4 linked regions of the Oreochromis niloticus genome follow. The protein of the gene in region 1 interacts with the protein of each later gene in a pairwise test. Links are inferred from orthologs where the notes say so. Each region holds a gene or a part of one and is shown in the gene's direction. Other genes may lie near its edges. The genes, in order: ccndbp1, pias2, ilf2 and imp3.

Region 1 (7,868 bases):
TAATATATTTATTTTAGTGCTGAGTGCACTCACTGTGCTAAGTGTATTTATAATGTGATGGCTCATTAGAGCTCTGAAACTTTAAAGTGCATACATTTAAAGATTAAAGGTACTGTCCTATAAAGGAGACATGGAAAGGTAGTTTGTCAGCAGATTCAGGTGAAATTAATATGACTGATTGAACAGGTATTCTGTTCTGTGTTCAAGTAGCTACAACTGGAGCCGTGTGAAAGAGACAACAGCAGATTAAACAGACTGGAGGCTGTTAGCCTAAGTGAAGATAAGATGAGCTGCAAACAGGGGAAAACAGTTAACCAGGGTTTGCTAAAAGTGAGTGAGGTCTATCATTCCCAGCTAATCACATATGGACACCTGTGAAGTGCTCAGCAAATATGGTAGTTTAAGCAAAGACACAGTGATTTGGTAAACGCAACGATTTTAGTGCCTAAACCTAAAGAACAAGTGAATACAAAACAACTCTAGAAGAAAAGTGCTGTGTCCTCACTTGACATAGAGCTGACTTAAATTAGCCAGTTGGACAGTAATTCATTAATTAACAACTATGAAATAAAAACTACTCTTTTATTTCAAAGTAGAATATACTGAGTAGAAGAGCTACAGCCCCTACCAGCCTGTTGGCTGCAGTTAAGGTCAGGAAAATCAGTGTGTAGAATGTTTGAACTGCTTCCATCATGTATTCATTTTGCACCTTCTTCTTTTCAGCACAGTCCCACAACTTCCATTACATCTATGGATGCTATGAATCCGATGATGTGCGGGTGGACGCTGTTGTTGACGACGACGTGGTTGCATACGCCGATTTCAACAAGGAAGAGGTAGTGTGGGTGTTACCTCACTTGCCACAACCTGCAAAAGACTTCAAGAAAATGGCTTATGGAGTCGCCAAAGCCAGCACTGCACACTGTCACAGCGTTTTGGGTAAAGCAAAAAATGCTGATCCCGGTGCTCCCCTACGGCAAGGTACTGATCTTGGCACACTTCACTGCGAGCATTCGTTTAGCTCAGCCTGATCGAGGGGAAGAAAGAACACTGTTGATCCAACTGAAAGCAGATGTACCAGAAAGAATTAAGAGAGCACATACCGGGTTTAAAATATCTCTTTTCTGTGACTTACTTACACAAGCTGCTTTGAAACTAAGTGCTCCAGGCAGGTGCTAGACTGGTGGAGCCTTAATTACACAGCTAATCAGTGACCTTCTCTCTGGCTTGAAAAATATATTGAGACAGAATCACCTTTGAAAAGTAATTATATACTATTAAATTAGCTTGAAACTTGTGTTACAGTGGCCTTTCTAAACTACTCTAAGGCAGTCTCCTTCCATAAACTGAACTCTGAGATGAGTTCTGCTTCCACCAGCATTTTCTTAGAAATTATAGATAAGATGAACAAATGCAATATGTGTGGTGTCATTTCATGCGGCAAACTCACAGAGAATAGCTGCCTGACTCTGTAGACTGTTATTTTAGTGTTTGGAGTTTCTCTCAAATGAAAGTGCAGCATAGTTGATGATGATGAAAAACAAAGCTCAAAGAGGGTCAAGTGGCAATGAGAGAATATTCTGGAGGTCAGCACAGGTACAAATCATTTCTTTTCAATCCAGCCCATTATGTCTGTGAATTATAACCATGCACTGCTGGATATCTCATTCTGCTTCTTAGCACAGATTAAATTAAACTGTCAATAGAGCATTTTAGCTTTGTTATTACTCTGCTGACTGCACAACGTAATGTCTACAGAATAATGACACCATTAATGTTTAGATTGTTTCCATATAAGCTTTACTTTTGCTGTCTGTCTGCCATTGCGTATGAACTTTCCAGAGAAAAAGCAGTCTGTTCCCATCTTTATTTAGTACCTTTTTATATTTAGTACCTTTATTTACTTTACAAGTTAATTACACAATACATTTTTAAGGAATAAATGTCCAAAAAAACTGCCTGATGTAGCAAATATGACACAAGTGAAAACTCACATATGAAAATTAATATTTGTTTCTCATCAGGAGGCTCAATAAACACTCATAACATAATTTTCTGGCAATTATTTCATGGTTCAGCCTTGAAATTAATAAACATATCAATAAGGCCTCCTCACCTCAAAATTCTCATATATTTCTTTCTTTCTTTTTTTCGGTTGATTTGTAAGCAGAATATTCAGTTTTTCTTTCATCATATTTTTAAATCAGAAGTCTAGCTTATATTTTAATTTCTGAGTGCTTTTTGTGCCTAGTTTTAGTTGTTAGTTATGGTTTAGTTAGCTGCTATAACCTTGTGATGAACATGTAACCTGCAGAAAGATGATGACAGAGAAGCAACTCATTTAAAAATGCTACAGCCCCATTAGGAGCCCCTCTGGCTTCTACTGGCACATTTGCAGTTTTTTTATGGTAATAGTCTCGTTAAAATATTAGAATAACCTCCGGCACCAACAATGTTTGGCAAAATATAAATGCAATGCAAAAGAAAACACAATTTTCATTTTTTTAGATGTTTTAATGTCTCTGTCCATGTCTTTCATTTTATATCTGTGAGTTTGTTATATATTCTTACATCTATCAAGGTAATAGTTCTTGGGGGGGATTTTGCTCTAAAAGTATGAAATGTGTGACTCTTTGAGCAGATCCTCCTGACATCTACATCTATACCCGGTATGAGGGGGAGGCCAGTGTGATGAACACTCTCTTTTGTGTGGCCAACCACTTCTACCCACCCACCATCAACTTCACATGGACCAAGAATGGAGTGGAGCTCACAGAGGGTGTGGCAAACTTACGCTATCGTCACAATCGTGATGGGACATTCCACATGATTTCTACGCTTCTGTTCACTCCACAGCCTGGAGACCATTATATCTGCACGGTGGAGCATCAAGCTGCAAAAGTGCCTGTCAGCAAGAGCTGGGGTAGGATTATTACCTTATAATATAAAGTGCCTGAAGTAACTGTTGTTGTGATTTGGCACTTCATAAATAAAATTGAATTAAACTGAACTGTTTTTATGAATAAGCCAAGGACTCTTGAGATTCTCCCCAGTAGACAATCAGGTGACGATACCAATTTTAGAACTTTCCTGCAATACCAATACTGTGTTAGATTACATTTTTCTTTTTACATGTAAGGTCTGCAACATTATCGCTTTCATACCGTCCTAGATTGGCAACTAAAGTAAAGCTGTTTGAAGCAAAAAGTAGCCTCCTAACGTTCATGTTCTGTGAATTGGGGAACCCTCCATCTACTGTCTGATGACTTATATTTAATTTATGCTTCCTTTTGTCACCCTTTTAAACAGTTGCACATGTCAAAAATGATATCACAATTCACTGGATTTGTATTGTGATATGGTTTTTGTAAACCTGGCTCTTGGTTGGAGGCATGGATCTATGAGAGGGTTCGGTCATGTTAATGCTGGAGCTCAGAAATATCCAGCTTAGAGAGAGGGAGGAGGTACAACAGTTTCAAAAAATAAGGAATCCTGGAGAAAATTTTAAAACATACAAAAAAAAACAAACTCTGTGATTTTTTCATTTGACTTTTTCTATTCACACACCAGTGCTGATGCAGAGTTGCAGCACTTACAACTACAGGAGAAAACTACAATGAGTCCAAGCGTGCCTCAAGCAAAAAATATGTTTGGCTTTGGTTGCTGACATGTGCAACATGCCAATATTAGGGGCTTTTGGGCTAGCTAGAGGATATCCAGGAAAAGATTTCCTGTTCTCTGTGCTGGTAACTGTTGACAAATGTAGATACATTTTTAAAGGCTAAAGAAAAACTGAGTAGCTTTCATGTGAAAGCCAGTGTTTTCTTGACTGAACCTTAATCCTTTTTTCACACCTTTACCTGCATACAACCAAACCCTGTTCGAATGCAGTTTAGAAACATTAAAAGCTTTGCTAACAGATTCTTTGCAGTATTGCACAGATATCTGTTTATCATGATAAATGTTTTCTTGACCTATACATCCGCCCCCACAATGCCCCCTTTGCAGACTCTATATTAAAAAAAAAGTCATCTGGCTTCCTATGTTTACCTTAAATAACAGCAGTCATAGAATTATTACAAGAAGGCCTTTTTAGACATAAACAGATGCAGTTTTCAGTCATTTTCAAACTACACAAATAAAAGATGTTTTTTTTTTTTTTCAGAGTTGAAGGAAAACAAGATGAGCAGAGTGAGCCCTGAAGCCGTGTTTTTCGGTGTGAGTGTCGTTTTGTGCCTGATAGGATTCGGGACCGGAGTCTTCTTTTTCATCAAGCAGCCAAATGAATGTCTTCAAATTTGAGATTGAGTTTATTAAATTAACTTTAATCATTCAGTCTTTAATCCCCTGATTAATTGGTTTTATATGTGCAAGCAAAACCCATCAAAAAACATAAAAATCCAGTATCTTGTGCTTACAGATAACTTCTTTATATCACTGCATTAATAGTGAATGACAGTTTGTTTACTTAATGTGTTTAATGTGTACTTACAATTTGTATTGTTTTTCACTTGATGATGTGGTGTTAATATACTTTGATTTTTAATAAAGAGATCATTACTGGGGTTGTTATATGATCAACGGTGTATGCCTTTATAACACGCAGACCTACAAAAGAATTTGTGTAGAATAATTCCTCCCTGCTGAGGATTTATAGATAAATAAAGCAAAAATCTTGCACAACTGTGAACTAAAGAGTTGTGACGTCTTTGTTTGTTTGGTTTGAGGCAGGTATGCGCGCTTGTTTAATAGTTTTTGAAGACTAGCTCGTTGGCGCCCTCTGCTGCGCTCCTGGCTGAATGGCAGCCGGGTCAGCAGGAACGTCCGGCGGCGCCGTTGTTTCGTTTATTTTTGTCCCTCTATCAACGGGCTCCCCTTATGTAGTTCCACAACACGCATGTAACACGATCCACAAACTCTGGCGACATGAGTGCTGATAGTTGTGGTGGAAAAGTAGCTTTACGGAATCTGGTTAACTCCATCAACTGCATCCGAGACCGAGTCAGAGGTAACTGTGCCACATTATCTGTCTGTGTTGTCACAAATGAAACTGCTTAACCATAAAAGCTTATGTCAAGCTAGCTAAACGTGCTAATATATGTGCTAACATTGGTATAAACTTTCTTCATGTTAACTGTTGTAGATTTACGAGTTTAACTGTTTGTTAAACTCGATTCGTGTGTTTAGCAGCAGTTAACGACTTTGACGTCTGTTTGTTAGCAGACAAAGACGGGGATTTAGCTAATTTAACATACAGCGATAAAGACATTTGGCACTTTATTACGTGACCCAGCTACATTTAACTGCTAATTCCTGTTCGCTTTTATTCAGGTTTTTATTCCCAGGTTTTGTAGAAAATGGAGGTTGGGGCTTTTTGTCTTGCTTTTTCAGTTATTTCATGTTGTCCTCATCTTCACTGACCTAAATGGGACATTAGACCTCAGTGTTACTCGGTATTTTCATGAGTCAGTTTTGTGAACAAAAACAACTGATTGTGCAGGATATAACAATACTTAAAGGTTTGCTTTTACAAAAGAGTGTAAAGCTGAAATACGAAAAAGATAAAGTGGACAATATCAGACATTTTAATACGAAAAAAAATGTTTATCAAGACAAACATACAAACAGGAACTAAAGCGCCACTCAGCCCTAAGTGGCCCTTCAGTTACTGCCAAAAATCCAAAACGACTACTGTGTTGTCGTCATCAAAATATTCAGACATTTCATTATGTCCAAAATAGTGGCTAGCTAATTGTAGTTGATGGGAGGTTTTGGTCTTCCGTCTGAAGAAAACCTAGTATATAAAAGCCCAAATATGTTTTGTTTTTTTTGTCCAGAAATGACACAGAAATGCACTGAGTTCTGTTAACACTTGAGAAGATGAGTCTGATCAAAACTGACACCTTTAACCCAAGAAACCCTTAAATGTTAAAGATTGTAAGAAAGAAATAATTTTTTTGTGCCATGGAGCTGTCTTCAAATCCTATTTTCTGACCGCTTATCCATTTTACAGTGATTTTAAACAGCAAATAGAAGCTAATTCTCCTATTTCAGAAATTGAAATTAGATTATTTAAAGATTAAATTATTGTAATTTAAATTCCTTGAAATTGCAAGGAGTAAGGGTAGTGAAGGTTAGAGGAGTTTAAATGCCTGGGGGTCAACCATCCAAAGCAACAGACAGTGCACAAGAAGAGATTGCAAGCAGGCTGGAGACGAGGTGTCAGGGGTGATTTTTTTTTTTTTTTTGAGAGAGAGGGATAGCAGCAAGAGTGAAAGGGGAGGTTTACAAGATCGTAGTTTGATCTGCTATGATGTATGGATTGGAGACAGTGGGACTAAAGTGGGCAAAAACAGGAGGTGGAGCTGGAGGTGGCAGAGTTTAAGAATTTCTTTGGAGTTATCAGCATGGACAAGATTAGAAATGAGTACATCAGATGGACAGGTCAGACTGAGCAGTTTGGAAACAAAGTTAGTGAGGCAAGGCAGAGATGCTTTGAACATGTGCAGAGGAGGGATATGGAATATCCTAGGCAAAGGGTGTTGTATATGGACCTGCCAGGCAGGAGAAAAGGATGAAGACCACAGAGAAGATTCATGGATGTAGTGAAGGAAGACATGCCAAGGTCTGGTATGACAGAAGAGCACGCAGGGACAGGATGAGATGGAGACAGATGATCCACTGAGCAGCCAAAAAAAGACGAATCCTCTGCAGTTTAGCTTAAGAACTAGAACCAAGAATTTAGAACTTTTTTTTTCTTCGCAGATGGAGAATCAAACGAGTCCGATGGAGCATTCAACCTCTCCAATTTCTGGGACACTTTGAGTTGAGTATCATGATCTCTTGCTGCTGTTTCAGCTCCTAGACTTTTGCATCGAACGTCCTTTGACAACTGGCTGATGTTCCTGTCTCGTTACAGTGAATGTTTTCTAAGAAATGTATTTGCATTGTTTTTATAATGTTTTTGCAATGACTTATTTGATATTAAAAAAAAAAAGAAAGAAAAAAAGCATTAGGAGAATTCCTTCCTTCATCGTCTTGTTGTTACATGATGCAACTGTCCTCGTGTCAGCAGATCAGGCAGTGAAGGCAGTGTCCCAGGAAGCCACTAAACTCAGCCTGGCCTTCTCCAAACCTCCTCTGCCATCACAGCAGGTCAGATTATTTCTGTAATCATGAAGGTTTCTCACTGAGCTGATAAACAGATTGTTTTGAAGTCTGGTATAGTGTAAAAATAAGAAATAATGATGATGATGATGTGAGCTGAACTCTTACTTAGAGCCATAAATTATTGTCATGTTTCTCAGGATCTTGAATTTCCACATAAACCTTCTAAAGACCAGCACATCATTTGTTTTCTGTCTGTTTTTCCTCCACAATCTCCAGGATGGAGAGAAGCTGGCAGATTCCATCATGAAGAGCATCCTCACACTGTCTACAGTGTATTACTGGCTACCTAAGAGCCAAGGTAAAACCCTGTGAACAGCAGAACAGTAATGTTGTATTCAGATGAGCGAGGTGAATACGTTGCACTGCATTCAGGTTTTTGGAGCATTTCACAATGCCAGAATATCACAATACACTAATCAGTCTAATCCAGACTCCAAAAGCCAGAGCAAGTGCCCGTCTGTGGGCTTATCCGTTTACTTCAGTCCGATGCGCTTCTGTGTTTACTACGGTAGTACTAACAAAAGTCTTCACTCACCCCCGAGTTATTTTGGAAAATTGGAACAACTTATTGAAATGTGCAATTATAGACGGCAATGCAGTTAATGAGGCATAAACAGTTTGTATAATTCTAACAAGCATCAAAGTCAATATTTGGTATGACCCCTTTTATTCTTTAGCACAGCCTAAACTCTCTTAGG
Region 2 (6,998 bases), on another chromosome or scaffold:
ACCGACGTTTGTTTCTCATGAATGAAATCCTGTTATTGTTAATCTGCATGTTCGCATTGAATCATTACACCCGTATCAGTGAGCCGGTTACAGCTCAGAGGCCAGCTTTGTTACTCCGGGTAAAACTTCCAACACACAGCCTCCTGTAACAGCAGTCATTCAGCGGAGTGTGCGTTTAAAGGCAGAAACGATAATCACGGAAACAAACGTAGGTTAACGCGGACCTTACGCAATATGCTACGACCACTACACAAAACGAAAGTAGCATTTAGTGTGTGTCGCCTTCAGGCCGCATTACTGGAAGTGTAACGCTGCGCTGTAGTTCACCCACACCCACTTCCTAATGGCGAACTTCAAAGTCTGATTAAGTTGAAGTGTAGCTAGCTGAGATCTGGGGATAGCAACTTAGCTGATTAGCAAACGTCTTATGCCGTGGAAATTGACACGATCTTGGGCTGCCCACTGCCGGATTGACTCCCTCTGTCACACAACTCAAGTGTTTCCGACGTTCAAACTGTAGATAAGAGACTTGAATGAGGTTTTTGGCAGCCCCGGGCAGGATCCCTGTAGATCCTCCGGCCTGATTTGCGACTGCTTAGTTGCCTAACGTTAATATTTGGTCGGCTAGGTGGTCAATGCTGACCTCTTGTTTCTGTTGAGCCTACAGCTACAGCTGGACACTGACGGTCACTTAGTGCAAATATACTCTGTAACGTGAACACGAGCCAAAGGACGGACGCGTGCACTAACCGTCAATACGTCCTTAAACATTAGAAACGATCAAAAAGAACGGCAACGACAGATTTACCTTGGCCAGCCTCCTGCTCGCCGCCATCTTGAAACTACTGTGTGTTCCCAGAATTCACTGCGCTGGGAATATGGGTCTGTTCCTGCGCTGAGGCTGATCAGGTTGGACATCCGCCTGTTTGTGAACATCCCGACGTGTCCACGACAGGAAGCGATGTGTTTAAATGCGGAATATCTGTAATTATATACGTTACAAACATGTTGGGCTGTGAGCCGGAGCCGCAGGAGGAGACCTGAACTCAGCTGTGTCCGCTTCACACGAGTTTTATTTTTTATTATTAATGCAGGTGTTCGCATGTGGACACCTGAAAACGCACCATGAGTTACACCTGTATGAGTCTGCTTGTTTAACCCTCAGCTCTGCTGTCAGTCTGTTGTAAATGGCTCATTCAACAGTCATGTGGATGGCAGAGAGCAAAAAGGTTTTCCATGTGCTTGCGTAATACTTTCAACAATAAAGTTTTATTTGAGTTCATGTTTCTACTTTAATATCATGTGTAAATTCATGTCCTCCCTGCACTTTCATTCTAAAGCGTGCCTCCACCTGCTCCATATGAACATCTGTGAATCTGTCCATCAGCACTGCAAACAAGTAGGAGCTCAGAGCACGTTTCTGATTTGGCCCCCCACTCTGAGCCCTCTGTCACTCCCACTGCACACATGGATGTGCTGCACCACCCTGCTGTAGAATGACCATCGTCTCTCTCAGTACAGGATGATGTAGCTCTGCAGGTCATCCTTGTACCTGAAAATTGAAAAGCAGTAGTCCACCTTCAGTTTGAATATTCAGACTGCATCGTCGCGCCTTATTTATAAACATATGTAGACTGTGTTATTAGAAATTATTAATTAACTTTAGTCTGATGGCATTTTGCTAGTTACCAGCTGAGCAGCTGATGTACTTTATTATCTGAGTTTGTTAAAGTTTTCTAATCAGATCACAGCTCTGGATCCTGGTGGCATTGAGTCTGTCAATATGCCTGTAAATGGATATAGATGGATTTATGCTGTTTATGTGGTTGTAAATTCTGTTTCACTGTTACACTTTGCTGTGACAGCACTGAGAGAGCAGGACAGAGAGGGTGAGAAAGAGACAGAGCGAAAAACAGGGCAAGATCTGACACGTAGTGAAAAATAATACACACCAGGGAAGCTTCTGTTTCACTGATGATGATTTTATAGAACTGATCAGTGTGTGTGGACCACAAACCTGCTCTTATAGAAAGTATTATAGATTATGTTGATCGTCTGCAGTGCCACAGCGTGTGGAGTGACAATGGTGACCCAAACACAGACGACCAGACGCAAAACTAGATTTTGACAAATGTATGTCATTCATTATGGCCGATAACAAAACATTAACCAAAAAAGAAACTCCTTTCTTTCCCTAAAACTACAGACATGAAACCTGGAACAGTCAGAAATACCTGGACACTTGCATCAACACAGGACTGAGGACGGCAGGAAGAAGAAGGTCTGCAAATGTGCACGTTAGGAGGAAAATCATCAAGGATTTCTTCGTTATTTGGTCAACAGATTGAAATGATGCTGTGATTCTCTTCTTACTGCTCTGCTGTAAGCCTACTGTGGAGAGTTCTGGTGAACACGACCGAGCTTTGGTTTGGTAACTAACGAGTCTTCACTCTGAATCATTCCTAACACTACATTAGGTCATACATGGCTTTTAAAAGTAACATTGTCATGTGTACCCAATGAGGTTTGCAAACATGAAACGTGTAAGCATATTCAGTATGTCTGACATTATGACTGTGGGAGAGTCCTCTTACAAGTAGACATGACCCCGCATGTTAAACAGTAAGGTTGAGAAGTCCACTGCTCCCTCTCAGACATCTCCATACCTCCACAGGTGTGTCACCTGGACCAGCTGCCTTTCCACTCCTCATCCTCTTCATAGCTGCCCTTCCCTCCTCCTTCCTAAGTCACTTCCTGACTCACTCACTGTCCTCCATCTGTGCTCCTCGATCTCTCATTTTCTGCACACTCCCATCACCTGTTAGCACATCTCCATTCCTGTCCCTAATTATCTCCAGCTGCTGCAAATCCTTTTCAGCTCCATCTGTCAGCGTGTAGCCACTCGGCACTGTTCTTTCCCTCCTTCTTCACATACAGCTCACTATAAGGCTTTTCCTTTGCCTGTCTTTCCTGTTCGCCTAGTTTCCCAGTACTCCTGACTGTTTTTTGCACCTCCTGTCCCACTTTTATTTGCCAATCTCTTTGGTAATCTCTTCCTTTTAATATTTTCTGCACTTCCTCATCCCTCCACCAAGTCTCTGCCTCTTTCCTCTGGAGGATACACCCATCACCTTCATGACAGGTTCCTTCAGCCTATAGCTGTACTGTCCCAGTCATGTTTGCTGCCACTCGGAGCCTGTCTCAGCTCTGCCCTGAAATCTGTGCAGCATCTTCATTTCCTACCATTGCATCTGTCTGTGAAGGTTCTCAGTCATCCAGGTCATCGTAGTCTAAGGAGCTTGGAAAGAAAAGCGTCTGGACTTCTTTGAGTTGCTTGAAGACGTTTCACCTCTCAGCTTCTTCACACCTTGGCTCAGGTGATTAGAGGATCATCAGGGGGGTCCTTTGTCCCTCTTTGGGGGGAAACTCCCACTGGGTTTAAATCTGGGACTCTCGGCCATTGACCCTTAGAACTGAAGAAGCTTCTCGGGTGAGAGGTGAAACGTCTTCAAGCAACTTAAAGAAGTCCAGACGCTTTTCTTTCCAAGCTCCTTAGACTACCATTGCATCCTTGCTTCTGCCTTCACTTGATTTCTTGATTTCTAAAGTCGTCCTCCAGCCTACCATCCAATGCTGCTCCAGCTGTCACTCTACGCCCCGCCCTTGAAACACGCCCACAACACAAAATCACGGCCTAAAGATCCGAAACTGATAAAAAAAAAGAAGAAAAATTAAAGTTGTAAAAAAACAACAACACAAAACAGATTCGCACGAAAACAGATAATTTATTCAAAATAATTCATCTGTTTGTTTGTTTTTTGTTTTACTTTTTAAATATCAAAAACAGATGGAAATCACTTTTCCAGATGAATAAAGCTTTGGATCCCAATTTAGCTCCATAGCAATGCGCCACATTTGACACGGCAGCAGTACCCACACAGGCTGTACCCACGGCAGGCTGTACCCAGTCTGTCCCAGGGGCCCACAGTGGGACCCATATGAGCTCTGTGGTACATCCTGCTTCGGTGGCCTTAAAGAGCTCTGTCTCACTCTCTTAATCTATATAAATTAGCGAGGATTTGACACGTGCTGTGGGACCATTTCCTAACACATGTTAAACAACAGCAGTTTTCAGACTCGCGTGGTTGTCGTGACACGGCTTCACTGTGAGTTTCCTTGTAGCTGCTGTAAAGTGAACCGCACTGTAGCTTCACCTGGAAGTGATCACACTGACCGGAACAACAAGATGGCGAGGACTGTGGTGTTTCGGGTAGGCGAAAACAAAACACAACCTGTCACTCGTGTTGACGTTGAAGCTTGTAACGAAGAAAACAGCTGATGTGTGTTTGGGTGAGCGATGGGCGAGGTGGGCGCCCACAGGCAGGGATGAGCGTAGTCACGGGGATCGTGGACGTTTCACTATGTAGCCCTGATGCTAACACAGGCTAGCCAGTCACTGCTAGCTCCCAACAAACAGCTGTTATTATAACTGAATGCCTCTAAAGTCCGCACACGGTCTTAATGCACGTACGTGTTGTATGTGGCAGACATCATGAGTGTGAGGTATGGTGTAATAAACATAATAAATAGTTTCTGTGGGAAACTTAAACCAAACTGCTAATCGAAAAAACTACATGCACCCGATTAGCCAAAAGTTATCGCGAGGCTGTGAGTTAAACACGATGTATACAAACATGTTAAAACATCCGTTTTTTTATTTTATTAGTAACGAGATTACAGAAACTCTGTTTTCATGTCGTGTTAAATATTCCTGACCCAGCGCTCAGCCACCGCGTCTGTATGTGATCATCACACTGTCGTGGGTTCACTCACCGTGGACGTGACACTGAAACAAGATCCCAGATCAGATAAAGGACAAAGGAAAAACTAAGATGGACACTTGGCCGTGCTGTGTTGTTGTGTATCATGTGTGTATGTTGTGTTGTAGAATCAGTTGTGTTTGTTTTCTCCGTCTGTGACTTTCATTCAGAGCGACAAACATTTAAACGTGTCTGGTTTTTAAAAGTTCAAATGGATTCATTAAAAACACAATGAAATACACGATTGAAGTACTTTTGTTTCGCTCTAGTTTTCAGTTCAAACATATAACAAATCCACATTGTAATAATAAACTTTGACATTTGTCATCTTGCAAATTAAATCCTCAAAGTTAAACTTCATCAAATCCGTTTAATTCAGTCAGATAGTTTGAGTTTTGTCAAACACACCAACACTGTATCTGTCATAAATGTTGCCATCAGAGTTAGTCTGTGACTATATGAGGTCAAGTTTGAAATTATTCCTGATGATACAGCAGCTGTGATAAATCACTATAACATGTTGTTGTCACGTAGAGACAAATTCATATGAAGATATTACTGCTTATTACTGCTGTGAAGCCTTCTTATAACCAGAGCAGCTGGCAGCCTGCTCAGTCGAATCCCTTTGAGTTGTCCTTGTTGATAAAGACTCATTCTTTGGAAATCTGCCTGCATTTATAAATTAGACCTTTAACCTTTAACAACCTGTTTGAGTGACACAGTCAGTCTAAGCAGGTGTGTCCACAAAGGTTGCCTCAGGTGAGATGGGCCCGCTCATTTAGTAGTCAAAGTCAGCTTTATTGTCAAAGATCATATGTACAGTTGTACACAGGAATTTGGAATTGCAGTGCTCCCATGGCCCCCAGTGTACACTAAACATACAAAGATAGAAAAGGAAATAAAAACAAAATAAAATAAAATAAAAAATCTTATGTACAACACAATACAATACTACACAATTATTTAAACAGCGGTGTCCCACACAATCATAGTGATTGTGGGCAAGTTCGTGTGCAGTGGGAGTGGGGCAGTCAATGAAAGGGTGATGGTGGTGGGTCAGAGTTTGTGTGTTTGGGGGGGGGGGGGGGGGCTCAGAGGGAAGAGGTGGATGCAGGTCTGGAGATCATGTGTGAGAGCAGGGAGTGAATTCAGCATCCTATTGACCTGTGGCCTGTCTGTATCGATGGAGTTAGTGTTGCCACACAAAATATCACGTGACCTTACTTTAAAAGAAAAAAAAAGGCTGGTAGGGTATTGTTGTCATCCCATCGGGTGGGCGGGACACCAAAGTGTGTGAATGGAAGACCTACAGAATGAAGCGACGTAGCATTTTCATTTTGTACCATAAGTGTATCTACTCAACATCTTGTAATGAGTTCCGACCTCGGTGACCTCGACCTAAAGGTCAGAGTACGTTATCTGGGACTCTTGGGAATGTGATAACTTGAGGACGAGGTGATGTAGGATGTTTTAAAGTTGATACCATAGATTTGAGGGGAGACACTGATGGATTCCAGTAGATTTTGTAAGAATGTGTTTTAAACGGGAGACTAGATGAAGGATGATCAGCATGTTTAACAAACAGAAAAAAGACAATTACTGTGTGGATGTCACCTGCCTCTAGGGATGGGAAACGAGGATTCCTTGGAATCGTTAGTCTGTCTGCCTATAGATCCCAGTTATCAGTTCTTGCACCCTCGCTACGATCAGCTGATTTCAGTTTGTGTGTTGGAGGAGGAACACAGCAGCACAGTCTGCAGCGCGGACATGACTTTTATTTTTGTTGCACAAAAGGATGAGAGCATAAAGTGGAGACTGCTCCAGGACAGAATCACACTGTTAACACAACTTCAGCTCTTTGCAAACAACTGATGAGCAGTCAGGCTGCAGGTTTCTACCTGATCATGTTTCTGCAGTAGAATCACTTTGAAGTGTCTTTGTGCTGGTTTCCTCTTTGACTTGTGCTCATACATAAACACTCAGAGAAAGATCACGTGTGTCCTCATCAGGATAGGACCTGTGTTGGTGTGTGGGGCTGTAGCCTCAGCTTATATTGTTAAACTGTGATTATGAGACAGTGTTCAGATCATTTTACAGAGTAACATGAAAGTAATGTTATGAGTAGTATATATGAGATTTGTTATATCCTGATCAGCTCCCGTCCCTCTGCTGTGGGAT
Region 3 (7,402 bases), on another chromosome or scaffold:
TTGGTGAGAGCATTAAGAATGACTTCCAGATTTCGATGCATAATCGGTGTGTGAGTGTATGCATGAATGTAATCTGTGCATAGGTTGAAGGTGCTATATGAACTTGCATGTGCATATATATATTTACAGATGTGAATGAGGCTTGTAGCGAAACACACTTTGAGTGCTCAGAGGAGAAAAGTGTGATATGTTTACAGCCTGCTGTTGGTACCTTTACTGATCTGGAATAAAAATCTGATTTATGATGGTCACATCAGATTTGAACCCCGAGGGTTTTCACCTCGTGCCCTTTAACCTTCTTATTTATTACCTACAGTATGCTGATACATACACTGACATTGGACTGCTCTCTTTGTGTCAGCAGGTGGCTGTAGTTGTGACAGAACCTGATTCAGAGCAGGTAGAGGACATCTCCACCCCACCCACTGAACCCCAGGTGGAGCCAATAGAAACCACAGAACCCTGAACTCAGCACACAGAGCTCACAGTGGTGTCATGTCAGTCACAAGAGACAGCTTACATCTGAGTGTCAACAGGGAAGCCATATTCCGTATGTTATGCGTTTGGAAAATAAATGTGAATGTTTAACAAGTTTCTGGCATGTTTGATCACAGCATCAGTGTTAGTGCTGCTGTCCCTACAGTATACTATGGTGTAGTTGTGAAATGGAACAGTTTTATTACTAATGTTGACATGGTAGCACTTTATAATAATGTCACACTATTAAGCCTTATTAAGGTATTAACAAGTGAGTAATTCATCATTTACACAGCATTACTGCGCCGTAGTATGCCATTTATACTTCTATCAATATCAAAACGCTACATGACTTAGTAGATTAATAAAGTTGTGAAATATAAAGAACAGAATTGGTCGATATTATAAAAGCAGCGATTTTAGCCCACTGTCAGTAATACTGTGTTCGACTGCCCCAGCACTCTCATCCTGCTTGTAACTCAGGGTTTCTCTCATCAGCTGCTGACGTGTAAGCCTCTTACTTACTTATGCACTGAAATGTTCTCCAATGAGAACTCAAAGAGAGAAATATCTCTAAAAATATAACGGTCATAATGCTGTTCTCATCATTGTTTATTGTTTTTGGCAAATTAGGGACAAAGATGAGGTTTTCATAAAATCCGAGCAGTTGGAACTCAAGTCGTTAAATCCACAGGACACATATGTGTATCTCCACAGTTATTTTAGCAGATCAAACCTATCTGACACTGCTTTCATGTATGGCTTCTTAGTCCTGTTGTCATTCTTTGTTCAAACCACTATAATATAGAATTAATTGTAAATGAATGTATGAAAACTTTAATCTCACTGAAAATAAAATTACTGCTGCACAGATAAATCGCTCTCTAAAGCTTAGCTTGAAATGTTGAATTGTTACTAATGATTTTTTTTTTTAGCACAAATCTGCTGAATCCAAAGCGGGGTTGTTCTGTCGAGTCTACAGATTGTATATTAATGGAATATTAACCACAGCCTTGTCTTTTTTTTCTATATAATTTTTAGATCATTGTGAATCTTCCTTAGCATGCACACATAAGGCCACATTCAATTCTGCTAAATAAAGTCAAGCTTTGTTTTAGCTTTGTGTGATTATGTGTAATTAATTTCATGTTTGTGCAGAGAGCTGAATGTTGCTTATGGTAAAAAAAACAAACAAGCTAGACAGTGAATAAAGTTCAGGTTAGCTAATGTAGTTTATGAGACTAGTGTCCATCATACTTTTGTGATATAATGTAACAATAATATGACCAACATTAAATTTATTGCATTAATATGTGGAATATAATTAAAAATTAGAAAATTAACTAAAAAGTGACATTTAACTCAGCACCTCAGTAAAGATTCAAGGTGCATTCAGTAATAATTTAGCAGTATTACTCAGAATAATCTGTAAACTGGGCCACATTAGTACAGCGTGAGCTTCGTTGTTACTTGATCCACACAAATATGGGAAAAAAAGTTTGCTATACCAAATATTATTTTATCTTCTCCACTACTACCTGCATTCCAAATATTGTACAGGTCTGTGGTTTATGTGCTTAAATAGCCGTGTATTTATGTGAAACCTGTCTGCCAACCCGAAATGATTACAGATCCATCCTGGCCCCCTCACTGACACCTTCCTGTGTTAGGATCCCTGGGTCATCGACCCAGTGGTTTGTGTTTTGGTTCTTTGAGTTTGTTACTTCATTATATTCTAGTTTTGCTTTTTGGGTTTTTGGATTATTCTTAGTTTGGGTTCTCTGGGTGGGTTCTGTTAGAGTTTTAGTGTTCTGGTTTTCTGTCTGTTATTCTGAGTTGCTGTCTCCCCTGTTTGCTGTATCCCCACGTCCAGTCAGTGTCTGTGTCTGCCCTGGTCCCACGTCTTTGTTCCCTTTGTTATAATGCCTGCCTGAGAGTCTGTGTTATGTTTCCTGTTTTACTTTGTAAGTCCATTTCTCATGTTAGTGTATCTGGTTTTGCTCTCCTTGTCTCGTTAGTCCTGATTTGCCCCAGCTGTGTTTCCCTCCTGTTGCCCATTCCCTGATTGCTCCCTCTGTGTACTTAAACCCTGTGTTTCTTTGAGTCAGTGTCGCGTCGTCCCTCATGCTGTGTGTATCTCCCTGTGGCTCCCTGTGTGTGTTTTGTTAGATTCTTTTCAGTTTAGGTTTTGTAGATTTTCTTTGTTCAGCAATAAAGCTGTTTTGAGTTCACCGTTTTGTCTCCGGAGTCTGCACCTTGGGTCCTATTCCTGTCTGCACACAGCCGTAACATGACATCCTGGCTCCGCCTTAGAAAACATTCATGCTTAGAAAACATTAGCATGAATTCTGTCTTACCTTTGCTGTCTTGCTTCCAAAACTTAAATCCAGCGCAATTAAATTGCATTAACTGAATAACTCCATTTCCCACAATGCCTCAGAGCAGGGACATTTCACTTGAGCAGCATCAGTCTTTGCACAGGTAATATCCATTCATGGTTTTTTGGAGTTTATTGTCTACTGCAGCATATTTTCAAAGGGGTGAAATGCTATAAAATACAAAACACATTTAGGCATTTTTCTGTGTTGAGTTACTTTGGCACAAAAGCCTCCACTGTAATATTTGCACCTCTGATGAAGTCTCACAGGTGTAAGCTTTATTTTGATAAGATTACTGCTTACACAGAGTTTGTAATTGAAACTCCATCTCATCTTTTCTTGTAATAACTTTACATATGAAAGTGATATTTGATATGTCACTTTACAAAGCTGCAAGAATGAACAATTTCTGCATACATTACAGAAAGTGAGCCAGACACAAAATATTCATTTGAAAAAAATATAAGTAAGTCGCAACAGAGGTTTTCAAAGGCTAAAAAGAATGAATATTTGAACATCTTCAGTTCCATGACAACTGGACAGCTCACTAAGGAACATTAAATGGTAAATGGACTGGTTATTATTTAGCACTTTCAACTCTGAGCTCTCAAAGTGCTTTTAATTTGCCTCATTCACACCAATTCATACATGTACTTTTTCTATATGTATATGTAAGTTCTGTTTATATAACATTCACACACATTCATACTCCAGTGGATGTGTCAGAGACGAACTTGGGGTCACTATCTTGCCCAAGGATATTTGACATGGATATTTGACACTGGAGTCACAACTGGTTGGAAGATACTAGCTTCAACTGATATACATGGAATGCATTCTCATGGATGTCAGCAATTTGAGGCACACAGCCACAGAGTTAATGATTTCTTCAATGAAAAGCAGTCCCAAGTAATGTGGTTTCTTTGACATGCATTTGAGAGGACTGTCCTTCGAGGAACCAGACTTTCTTGCCTTCCACATACTGTTGGGCTAGGGACCTCATCCAGTCAGTGAACTGGCGGTTTTGTTCTGCTGTGCGCTGGAGGAAAGCATAAGATTCTCCGGCAGTGGTTTAGGTGATGTTGGACTTGTCAGGTCACAAATTTTGAAGCCAACTTGAAAACCTTCTCCAGCCAATGATGTCCAGATCCTGCTTTTTAGATCCCATTATAATCAAAAAGATCCTCTAGAAAAGATTAAAATTCTGGAAACAGTTTATTAAACAGAGTCATATGAACAGCAAAACAGTACATCACATTACACAGAACAGCAAGACAACAGATCACAAAGCAAGCAAAGCAAACCTCAGGCTGTAGAGGCTGTAAGCACAGACAGGAAAAAGCTGGTGGGGGCACATCTGATGCTCCTTTATAAGGAGTCGAAACCTCTCCTAAACACCAATCAGTCCTTTTTGACAGTTTTAGGGCCAAAGTGAGGTCATGAAGTTTAAACTTAATTTGGCAGTTATGCTTGGATTTACATAATATTAGGTCTACATTGTTAGAATCCCAGCCGCAGTGAGATTCTAAAAATGTCCTGTGGAGGGCAGTATTGAGCTTAGTGTGCCGCCCATTGTAACAGAAGAAGTCGACGACTAACAGGCAGCACCGAGAAGCCGGTCCACAGAGGGACGTTCAACAATTCTCTGAGATTTTCCACGTACAATAATCAAAACGTCGTACGCAATGAGGTATCCGAGTGTAGCTCGTTGGGCAATGTGTTTTAAGTCGAGTACTATCAAGTCTTTGAATTCTTACCTCGTACCTGTGCTACAAGCTAGCTCTGAGTGCCTGATAGAGCCAGTTACTGCCTTCGTAATTTAAAGCCAGTGGCGTGTATTGTCTGAAAGCTCGCTGCTTTCCTTTTTTTCCTTCAATGAATCCAAACGTCCGAGCAGCGTGTAGCAGGAGCTTCCTCGGTGTAGGGAAGGCTACAATAGTAGACATATGTTAGCAACCATCCCGTTGGCTAATAGCTACCCTGCTGGAAAGCTAAATGAAACAAATGTGCTTTGGCTCAGTGAAGCAGCGCTGATGTAGTGCATTGGTTTCTCTACATTAAGTCATTACATCACAACATCATTACACGTTGGCTCAGTCGCCAAACGTGGTTTGTGCACGCACTAACGTCAGCTGTGTTGTGTTTGTGTCCAGAGGAGACCGCGGCAGAGGCCGAGGCGGCCGCTTCGGGGCCCGCGGAGGACTGGTCCAGGGGTGAGTTCACCAGCCCAGATGTGTTGGCTGATTTTCAGTAATGTCTTGGTTCGTCGTTCGAGCGCTAAGCCCCATTTACACGTTATGTAGGGAATATTACTCTCTTTGTGGTGCCAGGTGTTTTGTCCATAAAACACAGGTCACCACGACTTCATTCACAAAGTCCAGCTCGCTCCAAGGCCTCATAAATGTTGCTGGCAGTGTGAAGTGACAGTACCCATAAGGCTACACGGGTGTAAGCAAAACTCCGACATCTGTGGATGAAATAAATCATTTTTAGAAATTTCTCAATTTCCAATAAAAATTCACAAGTAATAAAATAACATTTGTTTTGCCGTGAATCAGCTTTTATCATTTAGCCGTGACAGTGCAACGAGGCGCTCTTTAAAGATCTCATGAACATTTGTTTTTATGATGATGTAACGTGTGAGCTATGAAAATCTGACTGCCAGCGTTCTGTCAGCACACTTTCATGTTTTGCTGTTAACCTAACTGCTTTTGTTCCCTACATAACACAATACATTTTTATAGTATAGTACCAGCTTAGAGTGCTGTAGTGCTGTAATGCTGAGGAATCAGAATCAGAATACTTTATTGATCCTTAGGGGAAATTATTATTTAGGGGAAAGAACCTGAACCGTAGACACTTTCAGGGACGACTCATAACCACCATAAAAGTACTGTGTGCGGCATTTATGTGCTTCACTGCAGCTGAACTCGTCTGGGTTCCTGTTTGCGTCTCTGCAGTCCCACATACTGTTGCTCCAACAGCACCAGTCAACACACACACGCTGTACTGTGCTCCTGTCCCTCTGCTTATTCCACTACAGAGAAGCAGACCTCAATGTGTCAGAATGTAAATGCTGAAATCACTATGCTTCATATTTTTGTGTCCTGTTCTCAGACAACAGAACAACTGTGAAATCTTGCCTTCAATGTTGTGCTTTAACACTGCCAACCCCGGTAACTGGAATGAAAACCACTAACACTGCTGTGTAACCACTGAAATACAGACCCTGGAACTGCAATGTTGTTTAACCAAATCTGACAAAACTTTATTTTTGTTTAGGTACCGGCCATTTGTCCCACACATTCCATTCGATTTTTATGTGGTAAGTATGTGTGGTGGTATGAATTAGAAACTTTTCACCAAATTACAAAGCAGCAAGACGTCAGCCAGCAGTCAGTGTATAATGAAAGTGTAGAGTGGTTCTAAAGGAGCAATGCAAGTACTCAAGCAGACTGTTGTTTGTCACAAGTGTGAGATGGCCTTCCCCAGAGTGAAGCCTGCACCTGATGAGACGGCTTTCAGTGAGTGTCTGCTGAAAAGGAACCAGGATCTGAGCCCCACCCCTGCAGAGCAGGTCAGTCCGTGAGCCTGCACTCATTCAGCAGTAATGGAACTGACCTGCTGTTTCATTTCACTTACACAAACCTTGTTCGTTGTCCGTCAGTCTTCCATCCTGTCCCTGGTCACAAAGATCAACAATGTGATCGACAACCTGATTGTTGCACCTGGCAACTTTGAAGTGGTGAGTCGAACATGAGTGAATGAGTCGTAATGGCTTCAGTGAAGTGCACACGCTGCTTGTGTCACTGGTGTGTGTGTCAGCTGTTCTCTCAGAGCTGAACTGAAACTCAAGACTGTTTAGAAACAACACTGAATCACTTGAATACAGTTAGAAGTATCCAGTAACAGTGCTTTGTGGACTATACAGCTTCATTTTCATTGGACAGATTTCATATTTATATTATAAGCTAATTAATAATAATGTCTTTCATGTCAGTAATCTTGTACTTGTCGACTTGTAGCAAATTGAAGAGGTGCGTCAGGTGGGTTCCTACAAGAAGGGCACCATGACGACAGGACATAATGTTGCTGACCTGGTCGTAATCCTCAAGATTCTCCCTACATGTGAGTAATATATGGCACAATTACACTGTCTAAAGAGAAGTTGCTGCTCCAGCACACATCATTTCTAAGCCTAAGAAGCTCGGAAAGAAAAGCATCTGGACTTCTTTAGGTTTCTTGAAGACGTTTCATCTGAGAAGCTTCTTCAGTTCTAAGAGAAATTGGCAGAGAGTCCCAGATTTTCCATGACGCTCCCAAATAAGGTTTCAAATCTGAGACTCTCCACCAATTTTTCTTAGAACTGAAGAAGCTTCAGAACCTAAAGAAGTCCAGACGCTTTTCTTTCCAAGCTCCTTAAACTACGATGACCTGGATGACTGAGAACCTTCACAGACATCATTTCTAAGCCTTTTTGATGCTGTACGTTGTGCTGCTTCTTGTCACTTGGATAATTTGGCAACTTGTTTGCAGTTATTAAAGAA
Region 4 (7,733 bases), on another chromosome or scaffold:
TGTTGTTACTTTTTCGGTAATGAAATTTTTCATATAGGAAATTCCCGGTCACAGTTCGTAGAGCCACAATTCACGCAAGTCTCTGATTACACTTTGTTGGTGCTGCTGCTGGCAGGTTTCTGCTCATAGCCGTAAAGAAATGTGGCGGCAATAACCAGTACTGCACCTAGAAAAAATACACTGAGAGACAGAGAAAAAGAAAATGCATTAGGTTGGAAGCACAACAATTGAGGCCCCTTGTGTGTATGACAGTTATCAACTGTCGATACTAGTGTGTGCTTTGCCAAGATTTTGATGACACTGCCTTTCAAAACAATTGTTGCCGATTAGAAGATAGCAAGTGCAGTGAAACAGTTGTCCCCTTCGTGACTTCTTTCTTGTTATGACATGACTTAAATCTGATTTACCTAATTGTTTTTGGAAAGCTGACAGGTTCAGTAGTCACACACAGGCGTGATTACTGCCACACCTGTGAAGTGTGAAATCCTTTAAACTGAAGGTGTCTGACAAAGTGAAGTAGGCTAAAAGATCTCAAAAAGCCCGGTGAGAAGCAAAGTCATTGACATCTATCAGTCTGGAAAGGGGTTACAAAGCTATTTCTAAGGCTTTAAGACTTCAGTGAACCACGGTGAGAGTCATTATCCACAAATGGAGAAAACTTGTAACAGTGGTGAATCTTCTCAGCAGCAGCTAACCTGCCAAAATTACTCCAAGGTGATCAATGGGCACAAATGAACCTAGAACACCATCTAAAGCAGGGGTAGACAACTCCAGGCCTCAAGTGCTGATGTCCTGCAGGTTTTAATGATTAGTTCATTACCAGGCCTCTGGAGAACTTCAAGACATGTTGAGGGATTAATTTAGCCATTTAAATCAGCTGTGTTGGATCAAGGACACATCTAAAACTTGCAGGACACCGGCCATTCCTGTTACATCCTGTTACACAGCATCTCCTTAAAGAATTTCATACCAGCAGTCAAACATGGTGGTGGTAATGTTCGGGAGCTGTTTTTCTGCTTCAGGAATTGGACAACTTGCTGTAATTGATGGAACCATGAATTCTGCTCTGTACTATAAAATCCCGAAGAAGAATATCCGGCCATCAGTTTATGCCCTGAAGCTCAAGGTTTCTCGGCTCATGCAGCGTCACCATGTCTTGCAGTTCTTGCAGATTGCTTCTGCCGAAGGCAGCACAACAGCTTATTACGTTATAATAACTAACCCAGTTATTTACTTGGCTTATCTTTTCTAATTCTAAAATTTGTTTGATGATCTGAAACATTTAAATATAACAAATATGGAAAAAACTACCAAATCAAGAAGGTGGCAAAAACTTTTCACTGCACAGTTTAACATGTTTGGAAGCAAAGACTTGCTGATTAGTATTAAAATAAAGCTGATATCGTTAGTTAAAACCACAAAGGCTAAACTGGAATTTGTGATGGAAGAACTATTTTTTAATCAACACAAAACCTGATGAAAATCCACAAATGTCAAGGTGGTCAGTGTAGTCAGGTGACTGTTAAAAGACATCTGGATTCTGTTTTAACTGGTTTCCTGTTAATCAGTGTCAGTTGCTGACACACAGTTGGGTCCATGAGTTTTTGGATAATGATAGTTTTTAATAGTACGCCTCGTTACACCACCACAGTGGATTTTAAATCATAATTGTTTTCTTTAAAATAGTCTGTGACGGTGGACAGATGCAAAACTGAAAAAAAAGTGTCTTTGTCCAAAAGTTAAGGACCTAAATGTATTTCAGCCTTTCACCCCACCCCCCACACACACACACACAGACACAAACAAGAATACCATGTTTTCCACTCATAAAGTGTTAGCAAATGAAAAAAAAAAAATTATTAAGCATAAGCGTGCTTGTGTTTACCTTGTGGGATTAAAGTCCTTCAACAGGAAATACGAAATGAGTGTAGACACTATGATTGATAGTGAGGCGGCAAATCCTTTGAGGATGTTGTCAGCATATTTAATGACTACAGCCACGATCAGCCCGCCGAGAGCCTGACGACATGCAAACAACACAAAGGCAGACATGAACAACTCCACAAATGCTGCCATAAAACTCATGGAAGTCAAATGATGCACTGTAGTGAAACACCATTGCACAACCTGTAAGACAACAACTATGCAGGTAATAATGTTGTATCCCTGGAAAATCCCCGCCTGCTTGACACTTTCGCCATCATACACCATCATGCCTATGAAGCCAAACACAAAGCTAAACAAACCTGAAAGAGACAAGAAAAAGTGATAAAGGTCAGGTCCTTGCTGGGACAAATAAGACAAAGGTGGTGTTTTAACTACTGAGCAATATAAGGCAAAAAGAACAAAAGGAAATAATCTGTAGCCATATATATATATATATATACATATATGGCTACACAACAAAGGAGGAACACATTGTCTTTCTGCTACAGATTAGCGCAGTGTTTAAACGTGACCCAGTTATTTAGACTTATTGTTATTGCTGAACATGTCCTTCTGTTAGGACATTAAGTCACCAATGGAGCCTGAGGCTTGTAAACGAAATGCTGTCCGAACTCTGTAGAAACCCCTGGTATAAAATGAAATTTTCCCTGACTGAATTTCAACAGTTAAATTATGTTAAATTAGATTCAGAGAAGTCTTGCATGTTGCGCCATTTTGCATGCATACAGCTCTTATTTAATTTTGTACTGAATTTAACAGCATTGCCAGGCCATTTCAAAAGTTCATATTATAGTCTCTCTTTAGTTTTATTTAGAGACATGTTATTGTTGGATACATCGTAGTCATGAACTCCTCTACATATCGCAGTATTCTAGAGTCAAATGCAACCCCATCTGTCTGACAGCTAAACAATCCCTAGCACAGCAGCAAATCTACAACAGAACATCTGAAAAATAAAAGAAATCCAGACCTCAACCTGCCTGAAGTGCTGCAGGAGTTGTGCACGAATGACTGTCTGCAAACTTCGATGAACTTAAGCTACACTGTAAGACAGAGTGAAAATTCCTCTACAACAATGTGAGAGACTAATAAAGTAATTAAGAAAACGAGTGCTACAAGTTCTTACTGTTAAAGGTGGTTCTGCAAGCTGTTAAATTACCTTGTGTACTTTTTCATAGGAACTGCATAACATCCTGAGGAAACTTTTGTTTGTAAGAAACCATACATTCCTCGCTCAGTCTGTCATACAAAAGGAGGTATAGCCACTCACCCAGCTGTATATTACGAAGCCACAGACCCTGGCTTGCCTCTTTGAGGATCTTCTCAAAGTAAACTCCAGCAAAACCACTGGACACACAGGCCATCAGCACGGCCATCAGGCCCACAAACTGCGAGCCTGCAGACATTACATTCTGTTCAGAGTCGCCCAGAGACTCGACGGGCCACTGTGGAGGTTGAAACACTGATGAGTGTGTGCAAAGGCATAGGCTTTTATCAAAACACATGATTAGTAAATACACTGAGACTCACTTCACAAAAACAACATTAGAAAGGTAGAAATGAAACATTAGTAATAATTGTGGTGACGGCGAGCGCTGTTACCTGCACCAGAGTGATCCCGGCCATGAGGAAGAGCAGGGAGAGCCACTGGTAGCAGCCCAACTCTTTCCCGAGCATGGAGACAGAGAACAGAGCTGTGGTGAGGATCTTCAACTGGTACGTGACCTGTTGGACACAAAAAACACAAGTGATGCTTTAAGTAAATGATGGATTACTCCCATCCTCGCTACAGCACATAAAAATTGATATAAAGCTACTGGTAGTTATATCTGAGCCACAGGCTGGCCTGGCTCCCGTCTGAATTACAGTAGAGTTGATCAATGTTGATCACATTGAGCTGCTACCTATGCTCCTCATTTTTCTTAAATAACACCCTGTTGCTTTTAATTTCTTCTCTGCCATTTTTAATTTTTCTTGTTATTTACACTCTTACTTTTTAATTTTGACTGTGGCCAAAATTATATTTTATGCTACAATCATATTTTCCTGTCTTTTATTGTGCTCTTCAAATGTTTTTCAGAGTGTTACAAAGACAAACTTTATTTATTTATTATTTAACACATATTAATGGGTAGTATAGAAATGCCACAGTTACAGGAAATGCAGTCATATCCAGAAATCTTCTTTTCAGTTACTTCTCGTTCTTTTGGAACATCTATTGTATTCTATTTCCTCATCTGTACTTTGATGCCTTTCATTCAGCAGCCCATTGTGCCGGGGTCAGGACAGATCTGTTTTAACCCTTGTATGGTGTTCGGGTCTGTGAGAACCATGCCATTTAGAGGCTGCTGCCCCTTTAGGCAGTATATACCATCAAAACCTGCAAAATATGGTATAAAGATATGTACACTTGATTATAACTGATTTTATTTTTTTTCTATAACATTTTATTAAAAAAAAGAGAAGCACATTAATTCATAAATGTGATTGAACAAAGGTAAAGGGAAAAAATTAACCATGTTTGCTGTTCACATGGCTCGTAATTGGGATGAAGTAAACATCTGTTGAGTAATTTAACATAAAATTGTTTGATAGTGTTAATTGGAAAGCCAAAAGTCTAGCGGGTCCACCAGACCTATGAACACTGGCTGAGTAACAAAAATACAAACACCACACAAGGGTTAAACATGGAAGAGAAAAGCCATTTCTAAGAATCTTATCTGTGATAGATAAGAGGACACGGTGTTTGCACTCCGAACTTGTTGTGCTTCATTCCTGTTGGGACAGCTTCATTTGCAAGATTTCGTGTCACTGAGCCGCTGTTAAAAGGATGGTCTTAAATGTTCCCAAGTGCCTCTTATTTACTTTCTTCTTCAGGTTTTTTAGCGCTTAAGGACAAATGGGTACTATCTACTATATAAGGTAATAATAGTCTCACAATTCTACTTAAGAAATGCTGATCAAATGTTATTGTGTTATTCATTTCTGTAAAGACCTGAGTATGTGTGAAAAAGGACAGAAACTGGAACTGGATGTTATGAACGTATAAATCTTGGTGTTCATTTGAAAATGGTTACTTTGTGACAAAGAGGAAAAGTGAACATGGCCTTTTTGCCGGCTAGTATTTTTTTTTTAAATTTTATATTAATTTTCCAAGTTCATAAAAACAGCTTCAGTCAGTTTGAATTGTTTTCCAAAGTATGTTTTTTTGTTTATTGTTATTTTAGATCACTATAGAGTTTGTTCTCATCCAATTATAAATGTTATTTATAAAAATATCATTTTAAAAATGAAGGATTTGAAGCTTTAATTTAAACAAAAATATTTGATATATTTTATGATTTTTTCCAGTGTTCCAAAACTTCAACTCCATGATGTTCTAGGCTCAAAAACTAGCATTTTCCCCTTTAATATTTACAGAATATAGCAGAGGGTATAGCTTTAGTACCACTTAAATTAATCAAACAAGCCTTATGAGATGAGAACAGAAGACATCTGTTGTTTTAGAGATTATTTTATGAGATAGATTTGGGTAAATATTTACCAGGATATCCACTGTACATCGTGAATTCAGAAATGTACACCAACACACACCAGCCAAGTGAAACCATAAAGAAACCAGTTCACACACACAAACTCAGTGAGCCTGAACAAGCACATCCATTCATTTGTATGTAACCTGATAGGTGGCTGCGTCCAGGTTGGACAGGGCAACATAGAGCAGATTGTTCTGCAGAGTGTAGATCCCTGCAGGAATGGCCAGCTTCACGAGCTCCACAGGCTTGTTCAGAATCTCCTCGTTCAGCAGCTCATACATTGCCCTCAAGCTGAAATCTGAGAGAAACAGAGAGAGCACTGTCAGTAATTCAACCTGAGGACCACCTGTGAAGTTTATTAACGAGCCTGGGGAGCAGGTATATAGGATTTTCTACCCAAGTAGGGTCCAAAACTGATTTTCCTCCTTACTCACTGTTCTCGCTGAAGACGAGGAGAGTGCATGTAAAAATCTTGAGCACTTCAGCTGACACCACGGCAGAGGAGGCGAGGTAGCGAGGACCGTCCTCCTTCAGGGTACGGGAGTAGCGCATGGTGAGAACCAGCAGGGTGGTTTGCAGCACCAGAACCCCCAGAGACACGTATTTTAGCCCGGAGGAAAGCGCCATTGTGGAGGAATGTTTGACTCTGCAGAGAGACAGTGAAGGAGCCTTTTAGGATGGACAGGAAGAAAATGAAAAAACGAAGAGTGAACTGAAAGGTTCATTCAGTTTGTTCACACAAACATAAGGACTCACAGAGAGCGTCCTTACACGCTGAGCAAGGCTGCTGCAGTGTCCTTGAGCTAGAAATTGACTTCTGCCTCGAACACAACATCCTTAATAAGTTGCAGAAATGCAAGAGACAACAGTGGAAGAGACTGAGGATTAACACGCTGTGACTGGTCCTTCACAGACACAGTCTAACAGTAAAAAGTAATGGGGAACATTTCGGAAACAGCTGTCACCTTTCCTTTGTCTTGTTATTGGAAATCTGTCCTCCAGCAAGACAAGTGCAGATTTAGTGCAGGAGAGGAACATGTCGGTCAACCACTGCTGAAACTGTTAAGCGACCAGCTGGAAAACCCTAGCCTGCATCTGCCCTGGTTAATGACATAGCTGTGCACTACTTATCTACACTGGCACCGGACTTCTAATAACATTTGATGGCAGCTGTCACAGATGTCATTTATAAAAACTACAAATCATTTCTCGTCTAAACTGGTCAGAGGTTTGTGGCTTAAAGATGAAAAAGCACAGCAAATTGTAAAGTCCTAAAATTTAAACAAATAATTCAGTTAAAATTAGGAAGGATTTTATACATGAGTGAATTATGCACCTGTGAACCTTAAGCTGACAGTGATGAGACAATTACTAACCCGTCTCCTGACTCTGGCATCTGGGACGTCTGAAGAGAAACAGTCTTCATTCTTTTATCTTTTATTTCCAAATTAAGGCATCGTCCACTTGCCTTCATCACATCACCCACATGGCCCCAAATTTAAAAACCTTCTTCCAAACAGAGGGCATAACTTTTAAAAGATGTAACGTATGCAGTGATGTCACTTTAAGACTCAAAGAGTCAGCCCACCTTAAGTAGTAGGAGGAACTGAGGAATCGTGCTCATTTTCTCACAAGGTGAAAGTGTGGGATCGGCTCAGGTGGACTGTTTGCACAGCATGATTATTAGTTAATCCCTGTTAACAGCGAGGTCTCTGTATCTCCACTATCTTCAGACAATTATGCACATTGAATCTGACTCACACACAGTTTACAGTTTCTTCTTGTTCTTACAGATTCATGACATCATCTCAAACAAACTTGTGACTCTTTTATGCTGTAAAGCATTTATATGTGCTGTATTTGAACAGCAATTTAGTAAAAAAAAAAAAAAAATCTATTAATTTTTTAAAAAGGGATGTACAACTAGGCAAGATGAAGACCATGAAGTGGTGACAGAAAAAGAGGTGCGGTGTTTTCAGCACAGTGTCCTCTTTATGTAGGAGCTGTGCTTAGCAGAGGGGCACGACTGCACAGTCCCTCTCTGTTTCTGTGTGCGTCATTGTGTGTGAGTGCCCTCCTTACAGACTGCAGCGTCTACACCCAGCACACTCTGCCAACTCTCTCCAAGTATATTCAAACTTCTTCTTTTTTTAGGTAGTGTCATCTGTGCCCTTGCTTATTCACGTCCATCCATCCACTTTCTTAACTGATGGTCCTCTTCACACTCCCGATGGCATCTATGGCCACTTT

Evidence for each region.
Region 2: the proteins of ccndbp1 (region 1) and pias2 interact in binary tests that used the Homo sapiens proteins (3 or more experiments, as listed by UniProt). The two-hybrid records come from large-scale screens. The link is inferred for Oreochromis niloticus from reciprocal best matches to the Homo sapiens genes CCNDBP1 and PIAS2.
Region 3: the proteins of ccndbp1 (region 1) and ilf2 interact in a two-hybrid assay, tested with the Homo sapiens proteins (2 studies listed by BioGRID and IntAct). The two-hybrid records come from large-scale screens. The link is inferred for Oreochromis niloticus from reciprocal best matches to the Homo sapiens genes CCNDBP1 and ILF2.
Region 4: the proteins of ccndbp1 (region 1) and imp3 interact in binary tests that used the Homo sapiens proteins (3 or more experiments, as listed by UniProt). The two-hybrid records come from large-scale screens. The link is inferred for Oreochromis niloticus from reciprocal best matches to the Homo sapiens genes CCNDBP1 and IMP3.

The regions. Positions count from the first base shown.
Region 1 is NC_031970.2:14,580,954-14,588,821, reverse strand, and holds the start of ccndbp1 (cyclin-D1-binding protein 1 homolog), read left to right. Parts: upstream 1-4,847; 5' UTR 4,848-4,926; coding exon 4,927-5,008; intron 5,009-6,765; coding exon 6,766-6,825; intron 6,826-7,075; coding exon 7,076-7,155; intron 7,156-7,386; coding exon 7,387-7,468; intron 7,469-7,868. Other genes in the region: H-2 class II histocompatibility antigen, A-U alpha chain, read left to right, coding at 724-981, 2,642-2,923, 4,166-4,302. UniProt on the Homo sapiens protein: May negatively regulate cell cycle progression. May act at least in part via inhibition of the cyclin-D1/CDK4 complex, thereby preventing phosphorylation of RB1 and blocking E2F-dependent transcription.
Region 2 is NC_031977.2:829,591-836,588, forward strand, and holds the start of pias2 (E3 SUMO-protein ligase PIAS2), read left to right. Parts: upstream 1-3,987; 5' UTR 3,988-4,270; intron 4,271-6,998. Other genes in the region: ube2l3b (ubiquitin-conjugating enzyme E2 L3b), read right to left, coding at 809-835. UniProt on the Homo sapiens protein: Functions as an E3-type small ubiquitin-like modifier (SUMO) ligase, stabilizing the interaction between UBE2I and the substrate, and as a SUMO-tethering factor.
Region 3 is NC_031985.2:35,583,806-35,591,207, reverse strand, and holds the start of ilf2 (interleukin enhancer-binding factor 2 homolog), read left to right. Parts: upstream 1-4,388; 5' UTR 4,389-4,540; coding exon 4,541-4,545; intron 4,546-5,008; coding exon 5,009-5,068; intron 5,069-6,137; coding exon 6,138-6,180; intron 6,181-6,327; coding exon 6,328-6,432; intron 6,433-6,522; coding exon 6,523-6,600; intron 6,601-6,880; coding exon 6,881-6,983; intron 6,984-7,402. Other genes in the region: uncharacterized protein si:dkey-81h8.1, read left to right, coding at 362-466. UniProt on the Homo sapiens protein: Chromatin-interacting protein that forms a stable heterodimer with interleukin enhancer-binding factor 3/ILF3 and plays a role in several biological processes including transcription, innate immunity or cell growth.
Region 4 is NC_031982.2:10,387,011-10,394,743, reverse strand, and holds the start of imp3 (U3 small nucleolar ribonucleoprotein IMP3), read left to right. Parts: upstream 1-4,720; 5' UTR 4,721-4,869; intron 4,870-5,626; coding exon of another isoform or gene 5,627-5,781; intron 5,782-5,913; exon of another isoform or gene 5,914-5,917; coding exon of another isoform or gene 5,918-6,110; exon of another isoform or gene 6,111-6,152; intron 6,153-7,733. Other genes in the region: slc35a3b (solute carrier family 35 member A3b), read right to left, coding at 87-180, 1,886-2,246, 3,218-3,392, 3,550-3,672, 5,627-5,781, 5,918-6,110. UniProt on the Homo sapiens protein: Component of the 60-80S U3 small nucleolar ribonucleoprotein (U3 snoRNP). Required for the early cleavages during pre-18S ribosomal RNA processing. Part of the small subunit (SSU) processome, first precursor of the small eukaryotic ribosomal subunit.